2 linked regions of the Ovis aries genome follow. The protein of the gene in region 1 purifies or fractionates together with the protein of each later gene. This does not show direct contact. Links are inferred from orthologs where the notes say so. Each region holds a gene or a part of one and is shown in the gene's direction. Other genes may lie near its edges. The genes, in order: PTPN5 and MAPK3.

The links.
Region 2: the proteins of PTPN5 (region 1) and MAPK3 purify together in Homo sapiens (affinity purification with mass spectrometry; 4 studies listed by BioGRID and IntAct, with this or other methods). This does not show direct contact. The link is inferred for Ovis aries from reciprocal best matches to the Homo sapiens genes PTPN5 and MAPK3.

What each region holds. Positions count from the first base shown.
Region 1 is NC_056074.1:23,575,905-23,579,702, forward strand, and holds the end of PTPN5 (tyrosine-protein phosphatase non-receptor type 5), read left to right. Parts: intron 1-1,129; coding exon 1,130-1,290; intron 1,291-1,372; coding exon 1,373-1,486; intron 1,487-1,909; coding exon 1,910-2,003; 3' UTR 2,004-3,087; downstream 3,088-3,798. UniProt on the Homo sapiens protein: May regulate the activity of several effector molecules involved in synaptic plasticity and neuronal cell survival, including MAPKs, Src family kinases and NMDA receptors.
Region 2 is NC_056077.1:26,691,855-26,696,236, forward strand, and holds the start of MAPK3 (mitogen-activated protein kinase 3), read left to right. Parts: upstream 1-1,369; 5' UTR 1,370-1,391; coding exon 1,392-1,564; intron 1,565-2,591; coding exon 2,592-2,774; intron 2,775-4,382.

The sequences.
Region 1 (3,798 bases):
CCCTGAAAGAGAGGCTGGGCTGCCACATCTTCTAAGTGCTGTGGGACTGGTCAGGGACCACTGGGCATTTACTTTTGTCCGTAACCTTTACAAGCACCTGCCCTGAGCCTGGTTCTGGGTTGGGTACTGGGAAAACACAGAGCTGTCCAAAGCCTGGACTCTCTCCTCAAGGAGCACCTATAAAATGGTAAGTACTGACCTACAAATAAGTAAAAGCACAGAAGAAGGACATGTTGTCAGCTAGGGTGCTCAGGGAGGGCTTCCTGGAAGTGGTGGTGCTGAATGGGGTTCCGAAGGATAAGAGTTGGCTGGGGGGCAGACATGTAGAGAGAGCATTCCAGACAAAGGGAAACTAAAAGTAAGGGCACAGAAGATAGAACAGCTCTGTGTATAAATGTACAGGGAATGGGGGAAGCAGAGATTTGATCAACAAACCATCTGGAGTGCAAAGGCATCAAGTACAGGTTCACAGGAGGACTTGGGCTTGGAGAGGTAGACGCTGTACCATGTGTCTTGTTTGCCCGAATGAAGAGTAGGGAGGGTGTGTTTGAGTTTTAGAGCAACAAGAGCTATCAGAGCGTTCTGAGCGGTAGAACAGGATGGGCTGTAGACAGGCCTTCTGGACCACTGTGGATCTGAGCGATCAGAGAGGAGGAGGGGAGGGCCCCACACAGTCGAGAGAACAAAGTGAAGGTGGTGGTGGAGAGGATAGCACTGGAACACTGGCTGGGGGGGACCAGGGGTACTGGTGGGCAGGAAAGTATATTGAGGCAACAGGAAGGGTCCCAGGGCTCTTGTGGGGGTGACTGGGCTATCTGTGAAGGGGCAACCAGGAGACAGGAGTGAAATGGAGAAGGGGCTCTTCACCTCTCTTGGAAGATCCTGGAGTCACTGGGGCAAAACCCATGTGAAGACCAGTGCTGACGCTGCTCACCAGTCCCCACTGCCCAGCTGGCCTCGGGTCTCTGGCTGCTGCCTCTGGGCTGTACGGGGTAGATGGCAGAGGTCCGAGGTCCCACTCCCTGTGGCCTCCCTCCTGTGCTTCCTTCTCCCTTCCCATCTCTATCTCTGGGCTGGTGGCTGGGCTCAGTTCACGTGTATCTGGGGTGGGCCTCTGTCTCCTGGACAGAGCGGGACAGAAGAGCGAGGCCTGAAGCATTACTGGTTCACGTCCTGGCCCGACCAGAAGACCCCAGACCGCGCGCCCCCACTCCTGCACCTGGTGCGGGAGGTGGAGGAGGCGGCCCAGCAGGAGGGGCCCCGCTGCGCCCCCATCGTGGTGCACTGCAGGTGGGTCCTCCCAGACACCCACTGGGGCGTGGCGGGGCTCCCCGGCGGCCCCACCCCTCACCCCCGTGCCCTGGGCCCTCAGCGCAGGGATTGGGAGGACTGGCTGCTTCATCGCCACCAGCATCTGCTGCCAGCAGCTGCGGCACGAGGGCGTGGTGGACATCCTGAAGACCACATGCCAGCTCCGTCAGGACAGGTCAGCTGAGGGTGGGACCCATGGGGAGCTGGGGAGCGGGGGAGAGGGCAACAGAGAGAGCCTGACCTGTGTGCATAGGGTGAAGGTTGGGGGACACACCCCACCGGGACCGACCTGTGGACAGATGGGTGGAGAAGCCAGATCCAGGCAGTTGGTAGCTGGGATGCAGAGGGGAGAGGGACAGAGCTGGTGGACACAGGCGCAGAGGCTGAGAGTGGAGGATCATGCCACCTCTGTCCCCGCTGTCTATGCCAGAGCCAGGAGGGACAGGAAGGGCAGGTGGAAGTGGCTGGCTGGCCAAGGCTGACCTCTCTAAGCTGCACAGAGGCCCTGATGTGCCTCCCAGAGGACTGGCACTCTGTGGGTCTGGGGGCGGCTCCGCAGCCGTTCTTCCATGACCCGGCCCCTTCATCTGTCGGGTAGGGGCGGTATGATCCAGACGTGCGAGCAGTACCAGTTCGTGCACCATGTCATGAGCCTCTACGAGAAGCAGCTGTCCCGCCAGTCCCCGGAGTGACCACACGCCTCCCCGAGGTCCTCTGGTACCTCCCAGCCTGAGTTGGGGCCCTCCTCGCAGCCACACCCAGGGCCCTGCCTCAGGTCCCGGCCTGCTCCCCGTCCCTCCCGCTTCCTCTCTTCAGTTTGCTCCCCCTCCCCCGCTGCCTCGGCCGGACCCCTGCCCCCTCAACATAGCTCTTCCTACTGTACATACTGGGGAGTGGGGAGGGTGGGGGAGGGGTGTGCCAGGCCAGGCCTGGGGCCCCAGGGCCTGACCCAAACCACGTGACCTGGGGCCTCAGTTTTTAACGATGGTTCCACTGCTACTTGATCCAAAACGTTTCCCTGCCGCAACTCCACGTGTCCTGCCGCAGCGTGTTCTGTCTGTCCATCGTCTCTGCTGTCTGTACCGAACACTGTGTCTCCTCAGCCCGGGAGAGGGGTTGTGAGCTCCAGCCCCTCAGGGGCCCTGGCACGGGTGCCTGCCTCAGGCCCCCAGCCCCGCTTCTCCCAGCAGACAGGTTGCACTTTGCCCCTAGTTCCTGGAACCAGGATGGGAAGGAAGGGCCTGAAGACCCCAGAAGTCAGGCACAGGAAAGCCCTGAGGGGTTGGCAGAAAGATCGCAGCTGGGGAGAGGTCTCTGGATGGGGGTGGGGGAGGAGGATCGCATCCAGGGGGACCCCCAGGTATCACACGCCCTCAGCAGGCAGTGACTAGCCTGTGGGGCAATGGTGAGAAAGGGGACACATAGGGGAGAATGAACCCAGGGGGCCTGGGCCAGTGGGAGATGGGAAGCTCTGAGGGTAGGGTGGGAACTCGGCCCCAGATCCGTGTGAAGCACTTTTCTGTGTCGCTTTGGGAGACCCCTCCCAGAAGTCTTGCCGTGTGTAGCTCTGCGTGTGTCCTGTGTTCATGCGTGTGTTGAGAGCCCGTCAGCAGGGCGTGCATGACTCTTTGGCAACATGTGTTATCTTGGAGCCACGTGTTTTTATTGGTGACTTTGAATATTTATTCCATGGCAGACAGAGACATTTGGTGTCTTTTTATAATTTGCTCATGGTCATTGAATAGAGCAATAAATGGAGCATTTTGAGCAAAACTAGCTTCCTGGGTCTGTGTGATTGCCTCTTCCCTCTACTTCCTGCCTCCCTGTACCCCCATCTTCTTGCCCCTCCTACTAGTACAGATGCGCATGCGCACAAAGACACACCCACACACAGGCCTTTGAGATCCCTAGTGCCCCCTTGTGTAGCTTGGGAGATAGCGTGAATCCAGATTTGAAATTCCAAAGTCCACTGAGCATAATTCTCATATACCTGCACCCTCGCACCCAGCCAGAAGCCAGGGGCCCTGCAAAGCCACAGGGACAGATGTTGGAGGCTTTCATAGAAGGAAAAGTGGCTGGCAGGCCACCAGTTTCGACACAGGGGCCAGAGATGCCAAGGTCAGAGCAGGGGGACCTTCAGACTATACAGGCCCCTCCCTGTTGGCCAGCCCACTTATTTGCCCTGCAGGTCCCAACAGCAGCTGCAGCCCAGCAATTTGCCTTGCAAGGCCTGGGCTGAGAGCAGTCCCGCCCAAGGAACCTGGAGAATCTGCCCCTAGACCAAGATCCTGTGCCTTCCAGACACTCCCACTCTATTCTTACCCCAGCCCCCAGGGATGCAGCAAATGTAGCTGTCCTGCCCTTGCTGACAGGGGTGGGTCACCCCAGGGCAAGAGGGAGGCCAGGGCAGGACTGTTGACCCAGGAGCAGGTCCTTACAAGGTCACAGAGCCCTGAGTGGGCTGGTCAAGGGTCTGGGCTGCAGATT
Region 2 (4,382 bases), on another chromosome or scaffold:
CAGTGTTACTAATCTGAATTAGAATGCCTGACCATAGATCTAATTATGAGCAATTTCAGAATCATAATTTCTGTTCCATTTTGTCTCTTGATCTTTAGTGCATACAAGGACATACTCCCAGCTTCCAAGGAAGACAAAAACAACGTGATTACTTCCTGAAGCCTAGGAGATGTGTTTTGTGAAGCTCCCAGCTCACATCTTCACTGTGAAGTGGAGATGGATTGGATGGTCTCTTCAGTTTAACAGTCTGGGAGACAGAATGCAATTAAAAAGAACTTCTGCCTGTGTGTCAGAAGATACATGTTAGTCTCAGCTCCTCAACTCTCAGATTTCCCATTCTGTAAAACTTTGATTCACCTATTCCAAAATTTTTGAGTGTCTACATTTGACTGTAGGGATGGGGGTGGGTGGGGGCTACAGCAATGAACAAGACAGACATGGCCCTCTGCTCATCCAGCTCAGAAAACCAGATGACACCTACACTGTGGGGTGGTTCTAATGAAGAAATTAAAGTGGACCAAATGCTGTGTAAACTATGAAGTCTAGCACAGGAGCAAAAGATGATGATCTCGGTTCCAATTTTTGTCAAATCCAAGGACAACAAAAATGTTAGCTATCCTGCTGTTTCTGAGTAAAGCCTGAGAGTGTATTTTTCACCAAACCCAGTCCACGCAGCCCTCACCTCTTCCCTATGCCTCCATGTAAAGGTAGGCTGGGATTATCTGTCCTCAGGATACAGGCACTGCCAGGTTGCTGAGGTCCGGTCCCTAGCCCACTTTGACAGGTCTCCATTCGAAAACCATTAGGCAGGGAGTCAAGATGCCTGGGCTTTCCAGCAATCAAGTTACCTTGCCCAGTCACCTTCAGTTTCCACATCTGTGAAAGAGGCCCCATGTGTGAGGAAGCCACCTGTCACGGCTACTATGAAATAAGCATCATATCACTCGGCATCGGGCCTGGCTCCAGGAGGTTCCACCTCGAGCCCCGGGCTACTCCTCGGGCCGAGTGGGCACAGCGGGGCCACGTGGCCCGGTCTGGGTCCCAGCTCCAGCACTCATTTGCTAGGTGGCTCTGGGTGAGGTCACCGGGCCGCCCTACCGGTCAGCATTCGGTGGCGGGGGTGGGGGGGGAGGGTCTGGACAGTCTCGAGACTGCCCTGGGGAGCTTCTACGTTGACTGGAGCAGACGAGGCCGACAGGTGCCAGGGACCACAGCCCCAGCAGCGGGAAAACGGCGCGCGCGCGGCGGGGAGAGTCACGTGACGCCGCGGGGGCGGACGGGGGCGGGGCCTGGCGCGCGCGGCTCCGCGGGTGAGAGGGCGGGCGGGAAGGGGCGGGGCCTCGGGCGGGGCCGCCGGGGGGAGGCGGGCGGGCGGGAGGGGAGGAGTGGAGATGGCGGCGGCGGCGGCGGCTCAGGGGGGCGGGGGCGGGGAGCCCCGGGGAACTGATGGGGTCGGCCCGGGGGTCCCGGGGGAGGTGGAGATAGTAAAGGGGCAGCCGTTCGACGTGGGCCCGCGCTACACGCAGCTGCAGTACATCGGCGAGGGCGCGTACGGCATGGTCAGGTGAGGGGCGTTCTGGGGGAGGGGGCGTCTCTGGGGAGGGGGCGGAGAGGGGTGCTGAGAGCTCTCTGGGCCTTGCGGACTCTGAGCATCCTGAAGAAGCCGGGGCTTCAGGAGGCTGGGGAGCGTCCCAGGCGGAGGGCCTTTGAGTGCTTTCTGGGGGAGGGGGTCACTGCGTAAGGTCTCAGGAGAGGAGGTTTGGGAGCTTTGAACTGACTATTCAATAATGAAGGGTAGGGCATCAGAGTGTATGTGGGGGAGCTCTGGGGACCTTGGGGACCCCATAATCACGGGGTGAGGAGAAGAGAATTAGTCTTCTTGGGGAGGTGATATCCTTAGTGAAGAAGGAGAGAGGGTCCCCTCACTGGGGAGAGGATGTCTTGGATCACCCCCCAGTGAGGCTTGCCAAGGAGTTTGGGAAAAAAGAGCAAAGCTCAGGGCTGGGTGGGGTGGGGTGGGGCTTTGGGCCTGGGGCCAGGGACCCAGTGAGCCATGAGGGGTCCAGGAACACCTTCCTGCAACTTTTAGGAGGGGTCTGTGAGTTCTCCTATCCGCACTGGGTGCTCTGGGCCTTTGTTCAGCTGGACATAGCTCTGCTGCCCAGGAACCTCCCCCTGACACCCGCCCCGGCCCTGCCTCTCCCTTCTCTCCAGTCCCTCCTCCGACTCCCTCCTTCTCACTGTATTTGCCTCATTGTCCAGTCCTCCACATCTCCCACCCCCTGGACCCGTCTTGGCTTGAGAGAGCCCATCGTGGGAAGGGGAGGATGAGGGGTCAGGGCAGCTCGAATGGAAAGGGTTGAGGAGAGGGGAAGTCAGTGAGCGGTCAGTCTCTTCCTCTGTTTGTGAAGTCACCGAAGGGCTGGCTGGCTGGTCCCCAGCTTTCTCCCTGGAGATCCCAGGCCTTCACAGCAGGAAGGAACTAGCATTGTTTATGACTGGCCAGAGCCCTCTCCTGCTCCCTCCCCGCCCTGCCAAGGCCTGGGTGGGGCCACCGGGCCTGGACACCAACATCTCTCTGGCCCTCTCAGCTCAGCTTACGACCACGTGCGCAAGACTCGAGTGGCCATCAAGAAGATCAGCCCCTTTGAGCATCAGACCTACTGCCAGCGCACGTTGCGAGAGATTCAGATTCTGCTGCGCTTCCGCCATGAGAATGTCATTGGCATCCGAGACATTCTGCGAGCACCCACCCTGGAAGCCATGAGGGATGTGTATCCTTCACCTGGGCCAGACGGCTGGCCAGGCCCAGCCTCAGAGCCGGGCTGGGAGAACAGGGGCTTGTTTTCTCTTCCCTTCTTCCCAACCTCCCTCCAAACAAACCCAGTAAAGGAAACTTTCCAGCGGTCAAGAGGCCACAGTGTAAGAAGGCAGAGAGGCCTCAGATGAATCCTGGCCTGCTGCGGCCAGGCAGTGTGGCCTTGGGCAAGTCTGTTCTCTCGATCTTGGCTTCGTAGGGGGCTGGGCAAGATGAGCCCTGTGGAAGCTTTGTCCTCTGACATCGGCAATTCTGTGAGGAGATCCAGCCTCTGCCCACAGTCAGCTCTTCTGTTTAACTGATGGCAGTTCTTGTTTCTCTGGGTCCTCAGACTGGCAGGAAGGCAGGCGGGAAGAACACTGCCCTGTTTTGAGGGCCTACTGTGAGTCTGGTGCAGCTCAAGCCGAGTGCTTTGACATTTCCTATTCTAACTCCCAACTGCCCTAGGAGATGGGTCTCAGCAGCTCCATTTCAAAGATGAGGAAACTGAGGCTCAGAAAACTGAAATAAAATCAAGTGCTTCTGTGGCTGCCTCTTCCCCTCCCCCAGACAAGAACCTGTCCCCTCTCTGGGACTTCCTGCTCAGAGTCCCACCCCAGTCACCTGTGGACTCGTACCTTGCCCAGGGAGGAACAGACCTGCCTTTGTGGCCCCCCCGACCCACACACACACATTGCTTTCCTAGTTTGTGGGTCCACTTCCTGCCTGGCTCTGTTAGGAGCTTTTACACTCATCACCTCTCCCCTACCCCACCCACCCCCACCATCCCAGTCCTTCCCCCAAGAGTGGTGATCTGTACTGCACTGTTTGCAGCCCCCACCACAAACTGTGGGCAGGAAACTTCCACACTCACCCTCAGCTTGTCGTGTGACCTTAACCAAGTCACTGCAGCATGCCGGGCCTCTTCATCTTTAAAATAGCAGGGTTGGTCCAGGTGTTCTCGGAAGGCCCTTTTGAGGCTGACTCTGAAAGACAGCCATAACTGAGTCTTCCAGAAACAACCCACATGACGTTTATTTGTTTGTTTATGTTTAATTCTTTTTTTATCTTAGAGTATAAAAGGACATTTACTCCTCTGTCTTCGGGTGTAGGGCCAAGCCCCCGGAGTAGGAGCGTGCCGCTGGGAAGTTTCTCCTCATTCGTCTTGCACAAACCATCCCCATAAGGCAGGCATTTATTTTTAAGCAAACATTTATTGCCTGCCAGATGGTGTTCATACATAATCTCATTTAACCTTCTCAACAGCCATGTGGCTCAGTCTTTTATAACAGCAATACTAGTTCACATTTGCCGAACATTTACAACGTGCCAGGCACCAAGCTGGCTGCACTGCCTGGGTCATCTCTCAACTAATCTTTACCACCACTCTCTAAAAAGGATTTTTTTTCCCCTTTACAGATGAGGAAGAGAGGCGCAGACAGGGCTTGAGTTCCTAAAGTGAATGAATGACCAGTGCAGGAATGATTGACAGTGGCAGGTGAACTCCAGAGTTACTGCTCTTAGCTGGGACGTTCTCCTGCTTCCCAGTTTATTATCCCCATTTTCTCAATAGGGAGACTGAGGC